Schizosaccharomyces pombe: one gene and its partners. Changing the gene in region 1 together with any one later gene gives a genetic interaction. Each region holds a gene or a part of one and is shown on either strand. Other genes may lie near its edges.

Region 1 (8,905 bases):
CTAGATTTATCTAAATGGGAAGTTTCATTAGGCCAAATACTCCCATTTGCTAATTTTTTTTCAACTACTGTTTCTCTTGGTTTCAAAAACGAAATTTGATCCGATGTCTTTTCGTTTAGAAACTCTTTGTTTGAAGAAACAACTAAATCTAATTCCTTCAACTGTTTACATAAGATTGAGTTTTCCTTATCTGAAAATAGCTCATCTTTTACTTTGCATTCCGACCTTTTAGTAAAAACCAAATCGGTTTCAGGTTGTTGAGATATTTGGTCAATCTTAAAACACTTAATTGAGGACTTATGTTTCTTCATTATGTTTTGCGTTGGCTAATTTCATGGTTAAAAATGGCGGAATATGAAATAGTCGACAGTAAACAAACACTGTGTTTTCACTATGTCAACCTTCCCAATCTAGTAAACAAAAACGATAACAAGAGTAAACCAATTTTGGCACAAGCGCATTATAAACTTATACTGTATAAATTAATAATACCCCAAAAACTAAGAGGTCACAGGATGTGTAATGTCTGATGCCATAAACTGCAATAGTTGCTTCTGGTATAAAACGGTAGAAATGTGTAATGGGAGTGAAGAAAAAGAAACATACGTTCGAAACTGTAAATAAATCATACTTAAATAATGTTTTAAAATAAGATTTAACATTAAATAAGGATCATGATTTCGAGATATCAAAAGATGAATGCTTAACAGTGGTAAATAAGATTCGTCCTCGTCTAATGCTAAGTATCCTCTAGCTAAGATTGTAGAAATTTTCTTAAATTCATCGTTCGGCACAGGCATTGCCATTTCTCGGATAAACGCAACCAAAGAGAGCTCATGACTACTATTATTACGAATAACTGTGCTTGAAGCCGAATATGGAATCCTTGAAAACACTTTCGAAGTTGAGCCAGGTCCGTGCTCTGCTGAGCAGTAACCAACTGTAAGAGAAACATTGCCTTGTAAGTTTTCAGGTATTATTGCTTGATCCCAAAACAGATACTCTGCGTCAGACATCTCACCAATCTTCATGACGATTACTATCCAATCCATGTGCATTGAGTTAAGGAACGTAAATGTGACTTCTAAAATTTGCTGTAAAGCATCTTCAATTTCAAGGTCTTGGAGAAAATAGCGTCTCTCAGTTTCAAATTCTCCATAGGAATCATTCCAATTGCAAATAAGCAAGTGCTCTTCGACAGTTGTATACGTTACATGTAGCGCATACTCTCCCAAAGCTGAAGATCTGGGATTAATATCTTTAAGCTGATAGTTAAGAGTTGATAACAAGGGCTTTTTCAGGAGAAAAGCCGGTTCACGTCTCTTTAATGAACCATCCATCAATAAAGGATCATTATTATAAATGTCGAGTGAAACTTTTGTAAAAAAAGAGTTCGAATTTGTAGTATGCGAGTTGGGTGAATCAAAAATAGAATTCGGAATCGTGCATATTCGTAATGATTTATCTTCAAATTTATTATCCCCAAGTCTCTTGATTGAGTCCTTTACGCATATAAAATGTTGACAAGCCTTTAAAAGTTTTTCGGAATCATCTTCTAAAAAATAAAAAAAAAGTACGTTTTTTCCGCTTAATTCATTAACACAAACACTCGCTAGTTGTTCATAAGAGGTTGCTGTATCGCTTTGAGTTGTTTCATTATCATCATAATTATCTGTTTCATTAATATTTGTACTGAATCCCATCACTCTTTCGTTAATAGAAGTTTCAGATAAATTCAGTTTTCCAAGTTTGCAGTTTTCATAAGCCAGCTGAACATCATAAAAAAAGCTGATAGCCTTGCTGCTTACGTCGGGAGATTTGGAAGAGAGCAAAAAAACTTCAAAATCTTTGCTCTCACCATACGGTTGAAGACATAAAGATATCCAATTCTCTGGTGCCGAAGAATCTAAAGACAACTTTTTTTCGTTGTATTTGAGCAAAACACGAGGAGGTTGGGAGAAGTTTACCAACGTTTCAGAAAAGTTAACTTGGGATGGAGGATTGTCATTTAATGCGTGATGCCCGTTATTAATCGAGGACAGATAATTTTCTGGGCTTTTGCTCAAGAAAACAGCCGAACTTTCACCTAACAATATTTTCTCTAAATAATCCCTAATAGGCTTCCGCATGTACGAAGAAAAGTTTAAAACATCTTGAGACATCATGAAACTGGTAGTCATGCTTTTCCAAAAAGGTAACGATCTAAACCATAAGTTTTGAGACAAAATAGCGTTTAACAAGTCATTTTTTCCCAAGGTAATAGTGGGTTGTAAATCTAACGATTTTAAAAAACTGAAATCAAAATTTGCTGACTTGGATTCATTCATAAGAACCTGATGTGCTAACGATAGCGTATCATAATTTGAATCGGGGTTACTTTGTTCTGAGATATTAGTGGGTGTTTTAGAAGATGAAAAAAAATCGTGATTATACTCCATTGTAAAATCTTGTTGTATAAAGTTTGTAGAGCAGATGTCTTCATCTGTACTAGTTACCGATTCAGCGACCGAAAATGATTCAAATAAATCTTCAGTTGACAAAGAAGGAGAAGGGCACCAATATTTACCACCATAGTTATACTTCTGAAAAATACTGGAGATAGACGAGGGAAAAATTACCGCAGAATAGTATGAAGGCATATACGCAGATGTAGGGATTTTAGAATCTGAAATATTTAAAGAAATTTCAGGAATATCAACTTCGACGTTGTATGGATTTAAATCTTCGGTTACCATTCTATCATCCGATTGAATTTCCATTTGCTTTGGAATATTTTCGTGAGTATTCAAATTTGGACTGGTGTTTGATTGAGAGATGGAAGTGTTGATTTCCTCATTATCTAAGGTTGTCATAGTATTTGCAAAATTAGGCTCAATCATCTCAACTTTTTCTTCAACGTTAGGTAAGTCAAAGTAATCAAAATCAGCCTCTGTTATTCCAACATCGTCTATTTCCTCCATTAGTATGTCATCTGAAACATTATGATCAGCAACAAGTATCTCTTCATTTACTTTTATTGAAGCAGGTGTAGATTTTGCAGAATTTATCGAATAATTAACGGGAGAAGAACTATGAGAAGGAACCAAGGTTACAACGGCATCAGCAGTCTCTTCCTTTTCTGTAAAACCTTCTTTTCTTTTATCTGAAGCTTCCGCTTCTTCATTTGCGAACTCAGTTAATTCCTTTTTATTGTTTACGACGTTTGAAGGGAGGACTAGGTTATTCAAATCTGTAAGGTTGCTAGATAATGAATCATCATTCATTCGAAGGGCCGACGTTTCCAAAAAGCAAAGTTCTAAAGGCCAGGAAAATTCTAATGCCGAAGATTCTAAGGTAACACCCACCCACTTTGAAGTAGTCGTAAGAGAGAATCCATAGCGGTGTTTCAATGCATCAACAGTTTGAGCAGATGCGTTGGCATGCACAGAGGTTAATGTTGCCAAACAACCAGTCGGGGCTAAACGAATGACAGTGTCTAACTTTTTAACCAAATTATCCACTTCCGACAAACGATATACCGTCTGCCTTGTAGGCTTTAAGTAAAATTCTATATGGCCTTTCGATAAGACAGAAAGCTGTAAATCCACAACAGGATATCCATATATGTTCCAGAGCTGGGTATCGAAAGAAGGGTGTAATTTTAAAGGAAGAAGGACACCATAAATTGGAACAAAGTTGTATTCTTTGCACAGCCAATACAACACCGTTTTTTTCAATCCTTGAAGAAAGTTTATATACAGGTCTAATAGAAGAGCTAATTCATCTTTTTGAAAAAGAGCTAATCTGGAAAATGCACCTGAATTAAGTAGCATAAAAGAAGATGATTCCTCAGGAATAGATGGAATGGCTTGAAAATCATATACAAAAAGTAAGTCATTCTTCGCGTGAACAATGCAATCCTGATTTCGTAGATAAGCTTCTTTGTCTTCTAAGAGGGAAGCAGCATCCTCATTGTCCTTTCGCTGAACCTGATACTTCGCATAATATATAGTGTTAGGGCAAGGCTGATCAGTTAGCTTTTAATTTATCATGTTATAATAGAAATAATTACAATTGTTTTAATACTAATTAGATGAACTCCATCATGTACCATGGCAGAGGATAATGGCAGATTATTATATAAGAGGAAGTAGCTAGCGTACACGCGTAAAGAAAGCACATGCGGCCACTGTCTCATTTTAACATATTTCTTAAAACACACCTGATACTTTTACTGTTAATAATAAAATAAACAAACATTAAACTAACGGTTTAGTATGCAAATAAGCATAAATGCTTCGAAATTGATGAAGGAAATATATACTGACATATAATGTTTATATTAATCCCGTAATGACCGCTATTTTAATAAAAAAAGAATGCTCCGCCTTAAATTCCTATCCTTACTTTACAAATAATTAAAATGAATGAAAGTGTAGCAATAAAGGTCCAACACAATTGCAACTCCTTCAGGTAATATGTATGAACCTATCCCTCAGTATAATGTTAGTTAAACATTACATTCCCTTAAGACTCCTCTTGAATGATGGTTTAAACAACTCATGAGTGATGGCATCTGAAAAGTGAACGAGAAGATTACAGAGAAATTGGGATTCCCCAATCAGTTTTAACAGATACACTCATTGCTTATAAAGTTATAATAAGAAGGAAAATTTTTAAATAAATAAACTAGTTGTCAAGCGTTTTTTACTCATCATCCGAATCGACATCAACTGAATCAGAATTTTCAGACGAACTTTTTTCGATTTCGGTTTCATCTTCTGACTCAGTGTCTAGAGCACGAGCATCAAAGCTGTTTTTAGAAAAGCCCAATTTTTTGGCGAACAAATTCAACTCATTTGCAAACTAAAACAGAGGATATTAGAACCTTTTGAAAGAAGTAATTAAGAAACATCGATATTGACTTACAGCATCAGTCCCATCCTTCTTGGGTTGTTTACGATTGGGTTCTTCGAATTCCAACTCTTCATCGCTTTCTACATCTTCAATCAGCTCCAGATCCTCTTCGGTACCTCCGAGTTCTTTAATATCATGGAGTAAACCATACGATTGCTTTCTTTTCCGATTCGCTTTAGGCTTTTCCAATGATGATTTGGGTTCCTTAGGACCAACGGAACTTTTATGTTTATCAATAGTTTTGTTTTCCTCTGTTTTGTTTTTTAGTGATCTAGCAGAAGAATTTTCCACAACTTTTGAATTTTTTTTCATGTCCCTCTCGACGACATCCTTGATATCTGAAAATAAAGACAAATCCATATTATGATTTATGTCAAATAAAATAAATACAATCTTTTGTCGAGTTTATCGATTATTAGAGGATGTGAAAATCCAACGCAAAATAGAAAAGTGTGTATGCAGAATTAATGCTTGGTATAGTAGAAACAACAGAATATTTTCTCCTACTACAATATAGGTAGAAATTTGAAGAAATTGCACGCTTTACCACTTAATCTAACAATTTCGCTAAGCACACTATTGATGGTATTGGTGTAAACTCTTTAGAATTAGCAAACTTAGTGACAAGTGAAAAGGATGGGCGGTCTAACAAAATTTTCGAGTTATTTTCATTCCATTTTCTCCCGCTTCCCTTTAATAACGTTTTCTAATCCTTACCCGGGCGAAAATGAAGATTACAAAACGAAAACAGTCATGTATTTGACTATGTGGAATTCCGACTTGAACTCAGAGGCTCTGGACGTTAATAGTCTTCAATGGCAAACCTGGGCAAAATTAAACGACCCTTCAATTGTTTTTTTAAATGTGTCTAACCACGCCTCTCCAGATGAGAAAGTACCTTTTATTCAAATTGAATCTCGAAAATTAGTCCTCAATCCATCTCTTTTACAATATTTTTTAAAGGATGAGTCAACACTGCAGCAAATCTCTCCTTGGATGAGTTTGCTGATAAATCAAGTAGAAACGGCAATTCTCTTAACTATGTATTTGGACAACGAGAACTTTTCTGAAATTCAAAAAAAATGGTTACCTAACATGTCTTGGCCTTTAAATATTATTAAATCAATCGGGTTACCTTCTCAAATTAAACGAAAAATTTGTCTTCAGTTGAACGAATCAACTCTTGATTTTGATGCGGTACGTTTAATAATTTTTGATAGCAGTTAGTCTTCTAGACCGAGCATTTTGAAGCATGATTTGTACTAACAAAGCTTAGATTTTAGAGGATGCTTCGAAGGCGTTTTCAGCTCTTTCAGAACTTTTAGGATCGGACAAATGGTTTTTCAATAACGAATCACCTTCTTTCTTAGATGTTTCTTTGTTTGCTCATGCAGAAATTATCAATCATTTACCTTTAAAAAACGATCAATTAAAGGTTGTTTTGGGGACACACAAAAATTTAACTGATCTCACAACGCGAGTTAGAACTCTCGCTGGTTATACATCGGCTGGACCCATTGCTCTTCGTTAACATTTTAATTAATTGAGCATAGCCCAACGAAATTTTATTTCTTTGATTGCTTTGACCGAAGTTCCCGATATTATTATTTTATTTTTAAACGTGGTTATAATGTCAAATGCATTTTCTCATTAATACTAGCTTTCACATAATGCTAACATTAACTTTACCATGTTTTTCCGTTAATTTATTTCAGCTTGTTTTTAGTACTTTCTCACTCTATGTTAAAAAGAGAATAAATTAACAATAGGTCAATATTATATAAGTATATTTTTTCAAATGCCACCAGCATAAGCCTAAATACTTTCTAATAGTATATACTTCTCACTCTAATACAAGGGATTGTAACTTCATCGACCTGAGTACTTGGTTTATAACCCTTAGCTTGCCACTCTTTGGCAAGATCCCATAGAAAAAAATCAATTGTGATAGCATTAACATCTTTTCTGTTAATGTTTTGAAGAATCTTTTCAACAGCCCAAATGCTACATCCACGCATCTCGATTTCCATAGGATCATTATGAGCTATCAATTCATTTTTTAGCAAACGCTTTTTAAAATCAGAAGAATAGCTCAGACATCCTAATTGCCACAATATCTGGGGAACGCGATAGTCAGCAAACATTGTGATAGAATCGATATCGTCAAATCGACCGTAATTTTGTCCCTGAAAGCAAGCCCAAGTTTCTGCTACCAAAATTTGAGCACGTTTGAGCATATAACATTCTCTTCCTTTGTAAACAGATACATCTCTAAAATCAGGGAAATCAGCCAACAATAGCTTTATTAGTCTCTGCGCTTGATTATGACATTTTTTGAGTAATCCGCAGTATGAGCCATGATAAGAATCTACCAGTACACGGCCAGAAGCTCGCATGATTCTTATACGCTCCTCTAAAAGCGGTATTTTTTCAACGGTAGCACTGTCAAATACAGAAGCAATGAGGGTATCAGGACATTGTTTTTCATCAGCATAAAAAGCAGGGCTTGTAATGGGAATACCAGCATCTAATGCTTTGTTAATGGCTGCACATAGACTCCAATAACCAGTGTAAAGCTTCCCTTTGTATTCAATAGAAAATCTCTTGGAATGTTTTCCACTGTCTTCAACGTCAACGTCTGACCAAAATGAAAAATTCAAAATGTCCACCAAGAAAATCCTAAAGATTTGACGTTAATACATTATGAACAGGGTAAACTTGTTGAAATGAAGTATTAAAAAAATATAAAGTGTATATGTTCAGCAGCTCATCTTTATTTAATCTACGAAAACATTCAAGCGTCCACACATACCAATCTAAGGTAGAGACGTCTCGGGTTTTAGGGTGAAGTTCGTGATTCTGCCACTCAGCGAATTGGGGTCCCAACGAATCTAGCTTCTCTTTAATCCATGTTGCCACTGCTGCACAACCACCTTTATTAACTTTCACATCGTTTGAGTTCTTTCAATCGTTCATGTTAGCAGTTATTAATAAGTAGTAAAATTACCAAAGAAATAAATTCAGCATCTTGAAGCACTCGGGACATTATAAGAGTTTTAAGGGAACGTGGATGATGCCAGTTTACACTGAGACCTAGAAAGGTAAAACACAAGAAAAATAAGAGCACGAACGAATATTTTGTAAGACAAGCGTACTAAGGATTCATTAAAAAGTAATGAAGGAGGAAAGTGTAAATAAGTATTTCATTTCATACATGTATCTATAAATTATTCGTACTTTATCTTACTATAATTATATTATTCTATAGATAGCCCAATTTTACAATCCAAGAACTACTGGTTTGTGTAACACTTGAGCTATTAGCAACCTAAAAATGCAAAGGAAATGAATTTGAACCGATTAAATTGAAACTAGGAAAAAAAACATCGATCTTTAATTCTACAACTATCAAATTAAATCAACCAGTGAAAGGACGAAATAATTAAACAAGCATGATGACTTTAGAAGTATCATTGAATGTCCAGCGTTCATAGATACTTAAGAAGACTTTTCAGTTTCGTTTTCGTTCAATTCAGTGATTGTAGGGCCATCAGACTTAGCTGAAGCATTGTTAGAATTGGACGAAGTGCCAGTAACAGCAGCTGCAGGCTTGTTTCCTCCCCCAAAGAGACCAGCAGGGGGAGCAAATGGACGAGATAAGCTACCTTCAGCAGCCTTATTAAAGATGTAAATGGAAACCAAGTTGTTAGTAAACAAGGAAATCAAAGGGAGAATGGACTGAATCACCAATGGTTGAGCATAACCCATATACAAATGCATGAACGCCATGATAGCTACACCCATCATGGTAGAGCGTTTAGCCTTTTGTAATTGCTCACTATCATACTCCTTGACAGTGGTGGTCACTAGCTTGCCATTGCTTTGTCCAGAAAAAGGAGGTGCAGGCTCTTCATAAACCAAAGGAGTCTCATCATTGTTGGCATTAATACGAGCTTGGATAATTGCATAGACACCAAAAATAATGGTGTTTGAGATCACATAGGCAGCA
Region 2 (5,320 bases), on another chromosome or scaffold:
TTTTTCCAGCTTTACCAATAATGATACCAGCTTCACGAGTAGAAAGTAAGGCTCTCAAGGTAAGTTGTTGAGTAGCATAGGTGGCATCATCCATCGGTGGCTTGGCAGAGATGGGAGGCACTTGAGACGTTGGTTCGGGTTGGTTGGTCATGGACTGTTGAATAGTAGAACCGTTAGTAAGAGTCGATAGAGGTGTAGAGGGCTTTGGAGTAGGTATGGAAACTTTAGCAATGCCAGTAGCAGTAGAAGTGGTTTCGTCGGGTTCGTCTTGAAACGTTACGTCAAAAAAAGAGTTCTCTTTTTCCTCGATGTTTTTAGGAATGCTGAAGTGATTGTAAGCCATAGATGTCACTGGAATAGTATTGGTTAATTGAATAGGACACATATGCGTTTCTAGGAGGAGAGTAGAACCTTTTCTAAATTACTTCCTGAAAACTGATTAGTTCAAACCTGCAGGGATTTAGCGGAGATTAAAAAAAAAAAGGAAAACGGATTAGGCTCCTTCTAAGCTCTTATTGCAGTTTCTTATAAATTGAAATTGCAATCAATAGCTGTGATTACTTCGACAAAAATGAAGTAAACGACCAAGGAGAACGGAGTAGTGGTAAACGGGGTGTAGCAGTGACAAAGAGAAAATTTTCTGCAAGTAAGTCTTTTGGTGGGGAAATAACGAAGTTTGAAGAACGTATAGTAAAGTCGCACAATTTACTGATAGGAAGTGGTAGCGTAGCTTTACGCCTCAGTCGTTATATCTTTGGAAGTGAAAATGATGAGATTAATAAATGAGAAGAGCATTACAAGAATGGGTTTTTTAAATAATCGTAAATTTCCTAGCTAAAGCTAACGAATGCTGCCAAGTGAAATATCATTCTTTTAGTCAATATAGCAGGTATTAACGTAGTTGTTTTCGTTGGCCTTTGCTTCGGTATATAGGATAGCGTGGTTCAAGCGACTTTGTAAGATCAGATGAAAGATAAAGGGCAAAAACCTAAATAGCGTCCATGCATCAGTGGAACTTTCTTTCTTCAGATTACGTTATATGGTATAGTGAGCTTTGAAAATCGTTGAAAAAATTCGAATTTAATGGTGCAGAGGCAAAGACGATATGGACGTTCGGAAAAATGAAAACTATACTGGAGGAAGTTATCTTTATTTGATTCTGTCTTCGTAATTAAGCTTCCTTCAGCTTCGAACTTTTCATTTCCTAATTCGAATACCTATTTGTTCACCCGTACCTCTTTAGGTTTATATTTGTTCTTGCAAACTGTTCTGCGGCGATATGAATTTTGCTACCCCAAAGTTTACGTAAGCCAAGTTTGTCGTAAATAAATTCGCAAAAAAAAGTACTTTGGATGGTGCAACATGGAAGAATTGAACGCCGTTGAAACGCTGGTATTTTTGAACATGAAGTATCTCAGTATTCAACCCAAAGTCATAAAAATTCTTGAACCTTTAGCTTTCCAAGCGCTGAATGAGCATACTGGGACACATTTTGAAACCATAGACGCAAGTAATAATTGCGTAAGTTATATAAAACTCATAGAGCCAACAAAGCTAGTAGCATTTACTTCTTAATATTATATTGAAATTCCAATAAATAATCTTTGAATATCGTTTGTATGAAATACCCGAGAGCAATTGCGGCGCTAAATTAAACTGAATGTTCAGTTACCAAGATTTATGTCACTTCATAGAAAGATATAATATCACAGTAGCGTGTACCATTCTTCTATACCTCACTGAACGAGGAAGTCTACAATTCTGCTTGGCCTAGCACAGTGTTAGCGAGGGTGAAGAATAAAATTATGATGCTAATTACCAAAACGGTGATTTCAAAAAAAGTTGAGGAACTTTCATATTTTCATTTTTTGCCTCTTATAGGACGCTATGTATTACGTTGCGTAACTTTGACTTTTGCAAATACTTGGATGTACCACTGTCTCCATGTTTGTTTGTTGGTCAATATAAAACGTAGTATTAGACATTAAAATATTGGTTTAATTATTTCATTTAGAAAACTCAATAGAAATTTAGCAAATATCGTCAACCAACCTAGATTGATCCTGTTTCACGCAATTCGGACTATATGAATCGTTTTTGATTGCTTTCTAGACTTCATAGCATTATTACTTACCCTTCTACTTTTTTAATACCTTCGAAATTGTCAAATTGACTCATTATTGCAAAAATGCTGTACAGGCTCTCCGAAAAACAGCAGACAGACTTACGGTGTAATAAATTAACTGTCGATGGATTTGAGCTGGTAAAAATGTTAAAGGAATTACGATTACATAACAGGAATATCAATTTTTTGGAATTTCTTCGAGGTGTACAGATTGTGCCGAGCGACAGTGTCTTCTTGGGCGAAATTGATGAAAACAGCCATACTCAAGACAATACAACTACTTCTATCTTAAAGGAGAAAGAGCTATATGATGGTATTCCTCTGCTTCCATCAATGGCAGGCGTATCCATGGACCCTGAGAGAGAAAAAAAATCAGAGTTACGACTAATGAAAAACCAAATCAGCGCTATAATCAATATACTCTTCACAGTAGTAGGAACGGTGACCGCTGTTTGGTACTGCACTTCATCTTTATCTATTGAAAAGGTATGAATTAAAAACTTTCGTTTTGTTCCTGGGAGACCTTTGTATTGACTTAATATTATTTAGAAAATTGCGCTATGTGCGTTTTCAGCAATCTTGGTTCTAGTAGCAGATACGTTTCTTTATGTCCGCTATCTATCTGCACAACCCGTACGAACTTCAAAGAATCATACTCGACAAATAATATATACATGGACAACAAATGACCCTGTTCTACAGTCAAATGAGCAGCTAGCTATAGAACTGGGAGCCATTCCATCTTTGAAGGAAAAAAAGAACCAATAATTATATTCTTAATTTTTAGATGTTTTATTAACGAAAGTACCTTTGATGTTTTCCTGTAGATGATTTTTATAGGTTGTTTGTCTAATTGATCATAATGGCATACCTCTCTATGTGTTAATTGAAGGGCAGGCACCTATGGGCACACTATAGATAAAAAATAAAAAGTATTTAAGATAAAAAATTCGAACTCATTTGGCTTTTAACGTATATTTCATCAATTAATTTCATTATAATTAAAGATTTAGCAACATTATTTCAATTTAATTAGCCATTTGGTATTAGATTTATTTGTAAGGAACACAACTTACAAATTTATAAATAAACAACAAATCAACCCCCCCTTGTAAAAAAATTAAAAAAAAAAAAAAAAATAGAGAGCAACCTAACCATTGAGTTACCAGTGAATTATGCAAGGCGCAACTTGACCTTAAGTTTCTTCCATATAATCAATAGTGCAAGCACAGACATAACGTTTAATATTAAGCATACCGCAAAAAAAACAACAGGTGAGAACGAGCGAAATGCACCGCCAAAGATAGCACCAACTGTGTCGGATAAGGAAATTGATATTTGCACAGCGACGTTACCTATCAGGTGGTACTTAGGATGTAAAACCTTTGTCAATAAAGAGACCGAAGGGGAATTAGCAATAGAAGATCCAAAAAAAACAAGGGTGTAAATAATAAAGTAAGGTTGTACGAATTCCTTGCCTGTATAGTGAATAGTTATATGAATAACCATGCATACGATGTTTAAACAACAACCCAACAATATGATATCTCTGTCAGTCAAGTAACGCGTCAAATAGGAAAATATTAAAAGCAAGGGTACGTTGATAATTCCAGCCAAAGAAAGGAAGTTACCTGCTTGGAAGGATGAATAATTATAAAGCATAGAAGTGTAAATTGGAACAGATGCTTGGTATGCATTTAATAGAAAGTAAGCAGAGAAGCCAGAGAAAGCGACAACGAAAATAACAAGACACCCCACAAATCCTAGTTTTGAATTGGTATCCTGTTTGACATCATTAATGACATGCTTCTCTTCGACTACTTCTTCCTTTACGTCCGTTTGCGGGCTCAAAACCTCCCGGAAACAAGCAAAGCCAAACAAAAACAAGCCTACCCAAATGAAAGCCATTAGCCAGTTACCCGAAGTATATTCATTCCAGATATCGCTTTGAGACTTCATTGAAGACTTGGCCATTAATCCTCCGATGAATGGACCAGCTGTCAAACCAAGCGTTGCCATGACTGAGTTGACCACACCCATCGACGTTCTATATTTGATGCTGATCAAGGCTTTATCTGTGAAATAGCGCTTGTGGTATAAAAACATGGTACACGCAACACCCGTAAAAATACGACTCACAAGAATCAAGGCCACACTTTTGGCTTTATCTGCGAGTGCATACATGATATGACCAATAATGCAGCTTATACACGACATTGTATATGGTCTTCTATAAATCGTATATCCCTTGGCAGCTTTCGGAGTCGAGAATCTCAACATGGGATACAGCAACACAAGGGCAGTGATTGTGGGCAATCCGATAATTACACCGGACAAACCATTTCCTCCCCCCAGATGTTGGACAAATCTCTCGGACGTAGGAACGACAATGGTGAATGAAATGCAAAGAATTGTGTTATTTAACAGCATCAAAGCCGCACTGATGAACGGTGGTTTATGCGTAGCAGCCGGTGAGGCAGAAGGGTCATTGGAAACTAATCTTACAGATTGCTTGTATCCCGACTTTTCCTTTTCATCAAGAAAGGATGAGACCGAGAGGTCTTTTTCTAAATTACTTTGTTGCTCCATAATATAGACTCAATGGATCCATTCAAAAACCTGCTCTACTACGAAAACTGGCCTGTGGAATAAGGTATAGAAGGAACGAGAAAACAAAGAGAAATTCTTTGTTGTTTTCAAATATTTTGGTGTGAGTAAAGGAAGAAAGTGGAATTTCAATAGAATAGCATGACTCGTTTATTTTATATGAGATCAATTTTTTTAAGTTGATGATATCCGATAATTTTCATCATCGTATAGAATGGATAAGAATTCCCAAAATAGGATATCCACGGTGCTTCCCTAATTAAGCTTTCCGTAGTGCGGAGTATTTTACCATATATCAGTCATTAGTTGTACGGCTACTGTACTAGCTCACATGGTCCAGTGGTTAAGACTCATCGTTGTGGCCGATGCGACCCAGGTTCGATTCCTGGTGTGGGCAGTTTATTTATTTGTTCTTTTTTAAATTATTAATTACTTGTATAAATAGGAAATAATCAGCGAGAGCAAATAGTACAATTCAGTTATGGCAAGTACAAAAACGCAAAGATAAATGCAAACGTAGAAACCGGTAGACATGATGGTAGAAGGAGAATAGAATTATGATAGGATATGATGATAAGTATCGAATAG
Region 3 (5,357 bases), 1.5 Mb from region 1:
CAAAAATATCATAGATATCTTCCACCTAAGCAAGCTGTTATCGCATCTGTTATTTCTCCTATCGTCTTTGGTAATGTACCTATAATAATGTTCAAAAAGTCATCGGATAACTCTTTGCGTCTTGCCGCTACCGGCTCATATGTAAATTGTGATACCAATTCTGTCATTGCTAAAAGAGCTGTTCTAACAGGTCATCCTTTCAAAGTACACAAAAAATTGGTCACTATTAGATATATGTTTTTTAATCCAGAAGACGTTATTTGGTTCAAACCTATTCAGCTTTTTACTAAACAAGGGCGAACGGGTTATATTAAGGAACCACTTGGTACCCACGGTTATTTCAAGGCAACTTTTAATGGTAAAATTACAGTACAAGATACTGTAGCTATGTCGCTTTATAAGCGTATGTATCCTTTACCTTGCGAGTTATTCAAGGTTACGGATATTGATTCATAAAAAAATTTGTGAATATTAGTAGTTTAGTTTTTGGTAATGGGTTTAGGCATAAAAAATGGAATACTCTAATTATTTTACTCTAGCAGAGAATTGGGATATTGGGATATTATGGAAATGTAGTACTTGTGTGTTAAATTTAATGTTAGAAGTATCGTAACTCAAGCTTTCTAAATAGATACGAATAAATAATAGAGTTATACTAACTTTTCAATAACTCAAGGGTTATTTTTTAATGCTTTTACTTTTTGGAATAGCTTAGCTGATTGCGGTAAAGCAACGATGCAAAAGGCCTGAAGATCTAAAAACAATGTGCTCGATAAATACTCAGATAAAGAAGGTATTTCGAATAGTTTGGATATAAATAAAGTCGCAACAGTGGATATTCGTTGCTTTTCTAAATGTGATGTATTGGTAACTTGGTTATGCAAGGATACAAGCATGTGATAAAGAAAAGATTTGCCGTTAAGATCAAATTGAGCAAGGCTTTCTTCTTGTTGCAATAAATAAAGTAAGACTTCTACATTTGAAACTGTAACGGGAATATTAGCAAGAAGCAAGAGAAATTTATCGTTAAACGAGGAATCAGAGTGCTGTAGAAGATGAAGGAAAAAAACTTTACTATAAGAAAGGTTCATCGAAATAAAAGATTCAAGCTGCTTGGAGGCAGGCAAATCAGAATTTGTGTACGTCGTGTTGCTTTGAAGTAAAGAATTCTAAAGCGAAATGTCAGTAGCAATTCCTCGAAAATTGAAAAAAAAAGGATAATCTTACCTGTTCCTCTTCCGTTAGCTCTCTCTCTCCCCCTGAAATCCAAAAAGAATTTAGAAAATTAGAGGAAGACGGTACAAGTTCTTGTTTTTCTAGCCAAGCCTGTAACTCATTCTCTTCAACTAGGGAATCAGCTTCGACTACATCCTGGCTAGTTACAGAAGCGGCAAGCTCAAAAGGAGAAACTTTCAGCAACTATGCATAGTTAGTACCAACAAACAACTTGCATTTGTTATGGCAAAAAAAAAATTCAATCACAAAAGTTTCGTTCGAAAATTGACGTATCGAAACAAAAAAAAATAAACTGCTTTCTTTTTCTCTTTACACATACCTCTGAAATTCTCCCTGAAAGTATTTTAGCTAGCAAATATCTGCGGGGAGGAAAACTACAAGATTGCCAGGTATTAAAAAAGTGACCTAGAAAAGGAATCCATTTTAAAGGTGTTTTCTGATAATAAAACCATATTAAAAAGTCACTAATAAGTGGTATTAAAAGCTATGGCAAGTTAGAGAAAATCCAGTAAAAAATCATAAGTTAGTACATCGCTAGAGTTATCAGCCTCACTCATTAACGTTAGAGCATGTTGAAATTTTTCTAAGTCATTATCGTTAGGCGCTTGATGTAGTAGACCAATTTCTGCAAAGCTAGTGTTTTCCCATTCCTTACCCAACATGGCTGTTGGAATCTTCCCTCTAAAACAATAAGAATAATGAGTCACAACGTGGATGTACTAGCAAAAATGTATGGTTTGAACCATATATTAGAATAGTTGAAAAAAAATTTTAGTATCTCAATGGTCAAAAATATGAATAAATAATCGTGAGTTTTTTAGGTATTCTTAAATAAAACGACGGTGCCCTGCGTAGACAGAATATCAAATATACGTCCAAGAAAAGGCGAAATATTTAATTGAAAATTACAGATAATCTTTTAAATAGCTTAAGGGAAGCATTAACAATCAATTTCCTTTAAAACGTTTACTTTCGGACCTTAGTGAAGTAGATAGTACGCGTTTGGAGGAAACCTCGGAATCATCTTCTGAAATTCTCCTTTCTGGATAATGAATAGGTTGATTTAAAAATGGGCTAAAAAGTGAGTTAGTAAAAGCTTATTTCTTTCGATGATAAATAGGAAAAGGAAGAACACGTACCTAGTGGTCCATAATTTATCGGAAGTAAAAAAAACGTGTTCCAAAGCTTGCTTAGCAGTTATGCGTGATTTTGGATCGTATTGTAGCATTTTCATCAGTAGATCTAACCCTTGCGGATCCCGATTTTTTACGGTTTGATACCACTGAGGAAGCAAATTATTCCAGTAACGAACTTCAAATGATGATAATTGATAGTACTCTGGATAATTTTTGAGACCTGGCCAGCGTTCTTCTGTTGGTGTGCCTAGTAACTCCATTATGCGTAGCATTTGAGTACTCTGAAAAGGAACGACTTTTTTATCTTCCATTTTTATTTCATCTCCTTTGAAAAGAGGAGAAAGAGCAAGCATTTCTCCATAAATACAACCAATTGCCCAAACATCTATTGCTGGGGTATAATCGTGAGCTCCCAAAAGTAGCTCTGGCGCACGATACCAAATAGTAACTACTACACGATCGCTGGAATAAAATGGTAATATGGGATCCCGAATGAGCCTTCCCAGCCCTAGGTCCCCAATTTTTACCTTGCCTGTAGCTGTAATCATTATGTTTGCTGGTTTCAAATCTCGATGCATAATCCAGTTTTCATGTAGGTATGCTACACCATTAATGATCTGCCATAGAATACTTTTTAAAATTGATGGTGGAATTTGTCTTGTTCTAGATCGGCTATGGAAATGAATAATTTGCAACAGATCGTGTTCGGCGTATTCAAAAACCATGCTAATTGTGCCATCTTTGAGTAAAACTTGAACCAAGCTAACTATATTTTCATGCTGAATTTCTCTACACAGCATCATTTCACGAATAGCACTTTGAGAAACGCCGGTTTGTTGAGCATTCGAGCTTACTTGCTTTGACTCAGCTTTGAACTTTTTAATTGCAAACAGTCGTTTATCATTCGAATTAGATGAAACCGCTTTATAAACCTTTCCATAAGTTCCAGATGAGATAAACCCAATAATTTTATAACCGTCTTTCATGCTGAAATGACCCTACCCTATCAAACCTTTAAAGAGATGGATATATACACATTCAATCACATAGGGATGCTTTTTACAGTCTTTATATAAAAAGTATCCGACTTTTTAGTATCACTTAAAAAGTCAGATGAATGTAGGTCTCTCTATAGTGGGAAGTGACGAAGGCGACAGAAACATTAGTATTAGGCGAATAAAGAGTCAAAGTACCACGAATCTTTTTATGCCTACCCACTATTAACGAAAACACCAAGTCTGATAAACTGAAGGTTTTAAACATCAGATGGTAATTTTCATAAAGCTGTTTGTTCTTATTTAAAAGTTAACTGAATTTGTGAATTGATTGGCAAGTATAGAAAATCCGTGCACTACTGAGCTTTTGTATCTCACCACTGACATTCTTCTCGAAAGCAATGATTCGCATTCTGTCATGCGATATGCAGCATAATGTCTGTATGCCTATTCAATTTTAACAATAGCACTTTAGAAGTATGCCATTTCTTTTGATGATTTAAGTAATGTTCTAATTCTTCAAGTGTATACAAAGTAGTGATATAATGTCTTAATTTATATGATGTGTAGTTAAAAACTGTCTGTAGGAAATTTTATTTGACAAGCAATAAAATAAATTGATATATTCGTCCACTATCTGAGTAATTGGAGTAAATAAATATAAATAACAATTCAAAGTCACATGGAAACTTAAACTAGCCACAAGTAGTCATGATTTTAGGAAATTTTAATTGATTCATGTCATTTCATTAATAAAACGCTCTGCTCCATTGAAATATTTTTACCAACAAAAAAGTAAGTACTTAATAAATGTTATTAATGACCTGAGATAAAGTTAGTAAAGTAGGCTCGTCTTAATATACCCTACCATAACGTTGGAACTCCCATTCACGATTGTCCAAAGGACAAACATTCCTAGTGTTTAACCATCTTGAGATGCAGTGAAAGTGAAATGCATGCTTTTGTATTTGTTAAAAACAGTCCTGAGCTAAGAATACGAAAGAAATCGAATTAAAACTTACATTACAAGTTCCCCATGCCACTGTGCACTCTTGAGCAGCAGCAGAATCGGTGTTAGCTTGACACTCAATACATAAGTCCATAATATGATTTCTGCAGATAGCACAGTTATCTACAACAATGTCCCATTGCCATAATGCTACAGCATTCCACTAAATTGAAGGTAAGCAATATGAATCAGAAGAACTCATAAAAAAAGCAAAGAGAGTAAACTAGTACTTAAGTGTATGCTTATTTTAAAATAGCAAATATATCTTTGGGTATTAATTTTCACAGTTTACTTTGCTTTATGGCAAATTTGATACACATGAAGAACATGATCATAAAAATAATGACGAACCTTTTTAATTTCAAATCGAGGAGGTTTTTGTTCAATTTCCACCTCCTTCTTGTCTATTTGCATTTCATCTTCCATTGTGATGAGTAAAATAGAGCAAAGCCGCTACTTCGTTTTAAGATGAGATGTTTAAGCGGTGTGATAAAGGGGGTTGAAAATTGCAGCTTCGCTAAGCAATACTCAAACATAAGATAATTTTTGGAGTAATGTAATAAATTTTGCTAAAACACAAGTATTTAATATAATAAATAATGGATCATGGATCTTTCAATCGCAAAATGCGTACTCAAAAAATGAAGGATGATTATTCATCTGCTGTTTCATGAGTGTTTAGCACTATATCTATTTAGCTACATTAAATTACTCAGTTTGTTTAAATGTGTAAACTTTTAATTCTATGTTACATGATGACAATACAAGTTTCTTAGATATTATTTGTATTATGTGTGCTCGTTAGACATCTATTGAATAAGTTTTGTATATAATATCGAAGTACTGAAGACGGTTTCCTACAAACGTTTCAACCAAAATTAGTAAATAGCCCTATTTATCTATAATATTGTACCTTCTCTAGCATATCAAATTGAACACATTCAGCGAATTTTTCTGAAGTAATAGAGCTATTTTTTATTA

What was found. A genetic interaction does not mean that the proteins touch.
Region 2: mutations in med13 (region 1) and vph2 together harm fitness less than expected from each alone (positive genetic interaction), as found in Schizosaccharomyces pombe (2 studies listed by BioGRID).
Region 3: of med13 (region 1) and srb10, changing one suppresses a phenotype caused by changing the other (phenotypic suppression), as found in Schizosaccharomyces pombe (2 studies listed by BioGRID, with this or other methods).

The regions. Positions count from the first base shown.
Region 1 is NC_003424.3:3,094,575-3,103,479, forward strand, and holds med13 (mediator complex subunit Med13), read right to left. Parts: upstream 4,094-8,905; coding exon 4,052-4,093; intron 4,017-4,051; coding exon 501-4,016; downstream 1-500. Other genes in the region: protein mug74, read right to left, coding at 1-311; protein Noc12, read right to left, coding at 4,687-4,845, 4,909-5,256; mtx2 (metaxin 1), read left to right, coding at 5,533-6,093, 6,173-6,427; protein qng1, read right to left, coding at 6,723-7,575, 7,709-7,857, 7,904-7,942; snd302 (pho88 family protein), read right to left, coding at 8,395-8,905. UniProt on the Schizosaccharomyces pombe protein: Component of the srb8-11 complex. The srb8-11 complex is a regulatory module of the Mediator complex which is itself involved in regulation of basal and activated RNA polymerase II-dependent transcription.
Region 2 is NC_003421.2:66,343-71,662, forward strand, and holds vph2 (V-ATPase assembly protein), read left to right. Parts: upstream 1-1,909; 5' UTR 1,910-2,188; coding exon 2,189-2,611; intron 2,612-2,674; coding exon 2,675-2,893; 3' UTR 2,894-3,137; downstream 3,138-5,320. Other genes in the region: RNA-binding protein Rnc1, read right to left, coding at 1-343; SPOM_SPCC757.11C (transporter), read right to left, coding at 3,299-4,714. UniProt on the Schizosaccharomyces pombe protein: Required for vacuolar ATPase assembly.
Region 3 is NC_003424.3:1,574,855-1,580,211, reverse strand, and holds srb10 (mediator complex cyclin-dependent protein kinase subunit Srb10), read right to left. Parts: upstream 3,506-5,357; 5' UTR 3,359-3,505; coding exon 2,376-3,358; exon of another isoform or gene 2,311-2,375; coding exon 2,184-2,310; downstream 1-2,183. Other genes in the region: ribosome biogenesis protein Tsr1, read left to right, coding at 1-456; protein Not11, read right to left, coding at 672-1,169, 1,228-1,419, 1,556-1,720, 1,767-1,898; SCF complex, Cul4-RING and CLRC ubiquitin ligase ligase E3 subunit Rbx1, read right to left, coding at 4,184-4,191, 4,236-4,326, 4,390-4,539, 4,728-4,802. UniProt on the Schizosaccharomyces pombe protein: Catalytic component of the Cdk8 module/Srb8-11 module which is a regulatory module of the Mediator complex that regulates basal RNA polymerase II transcription.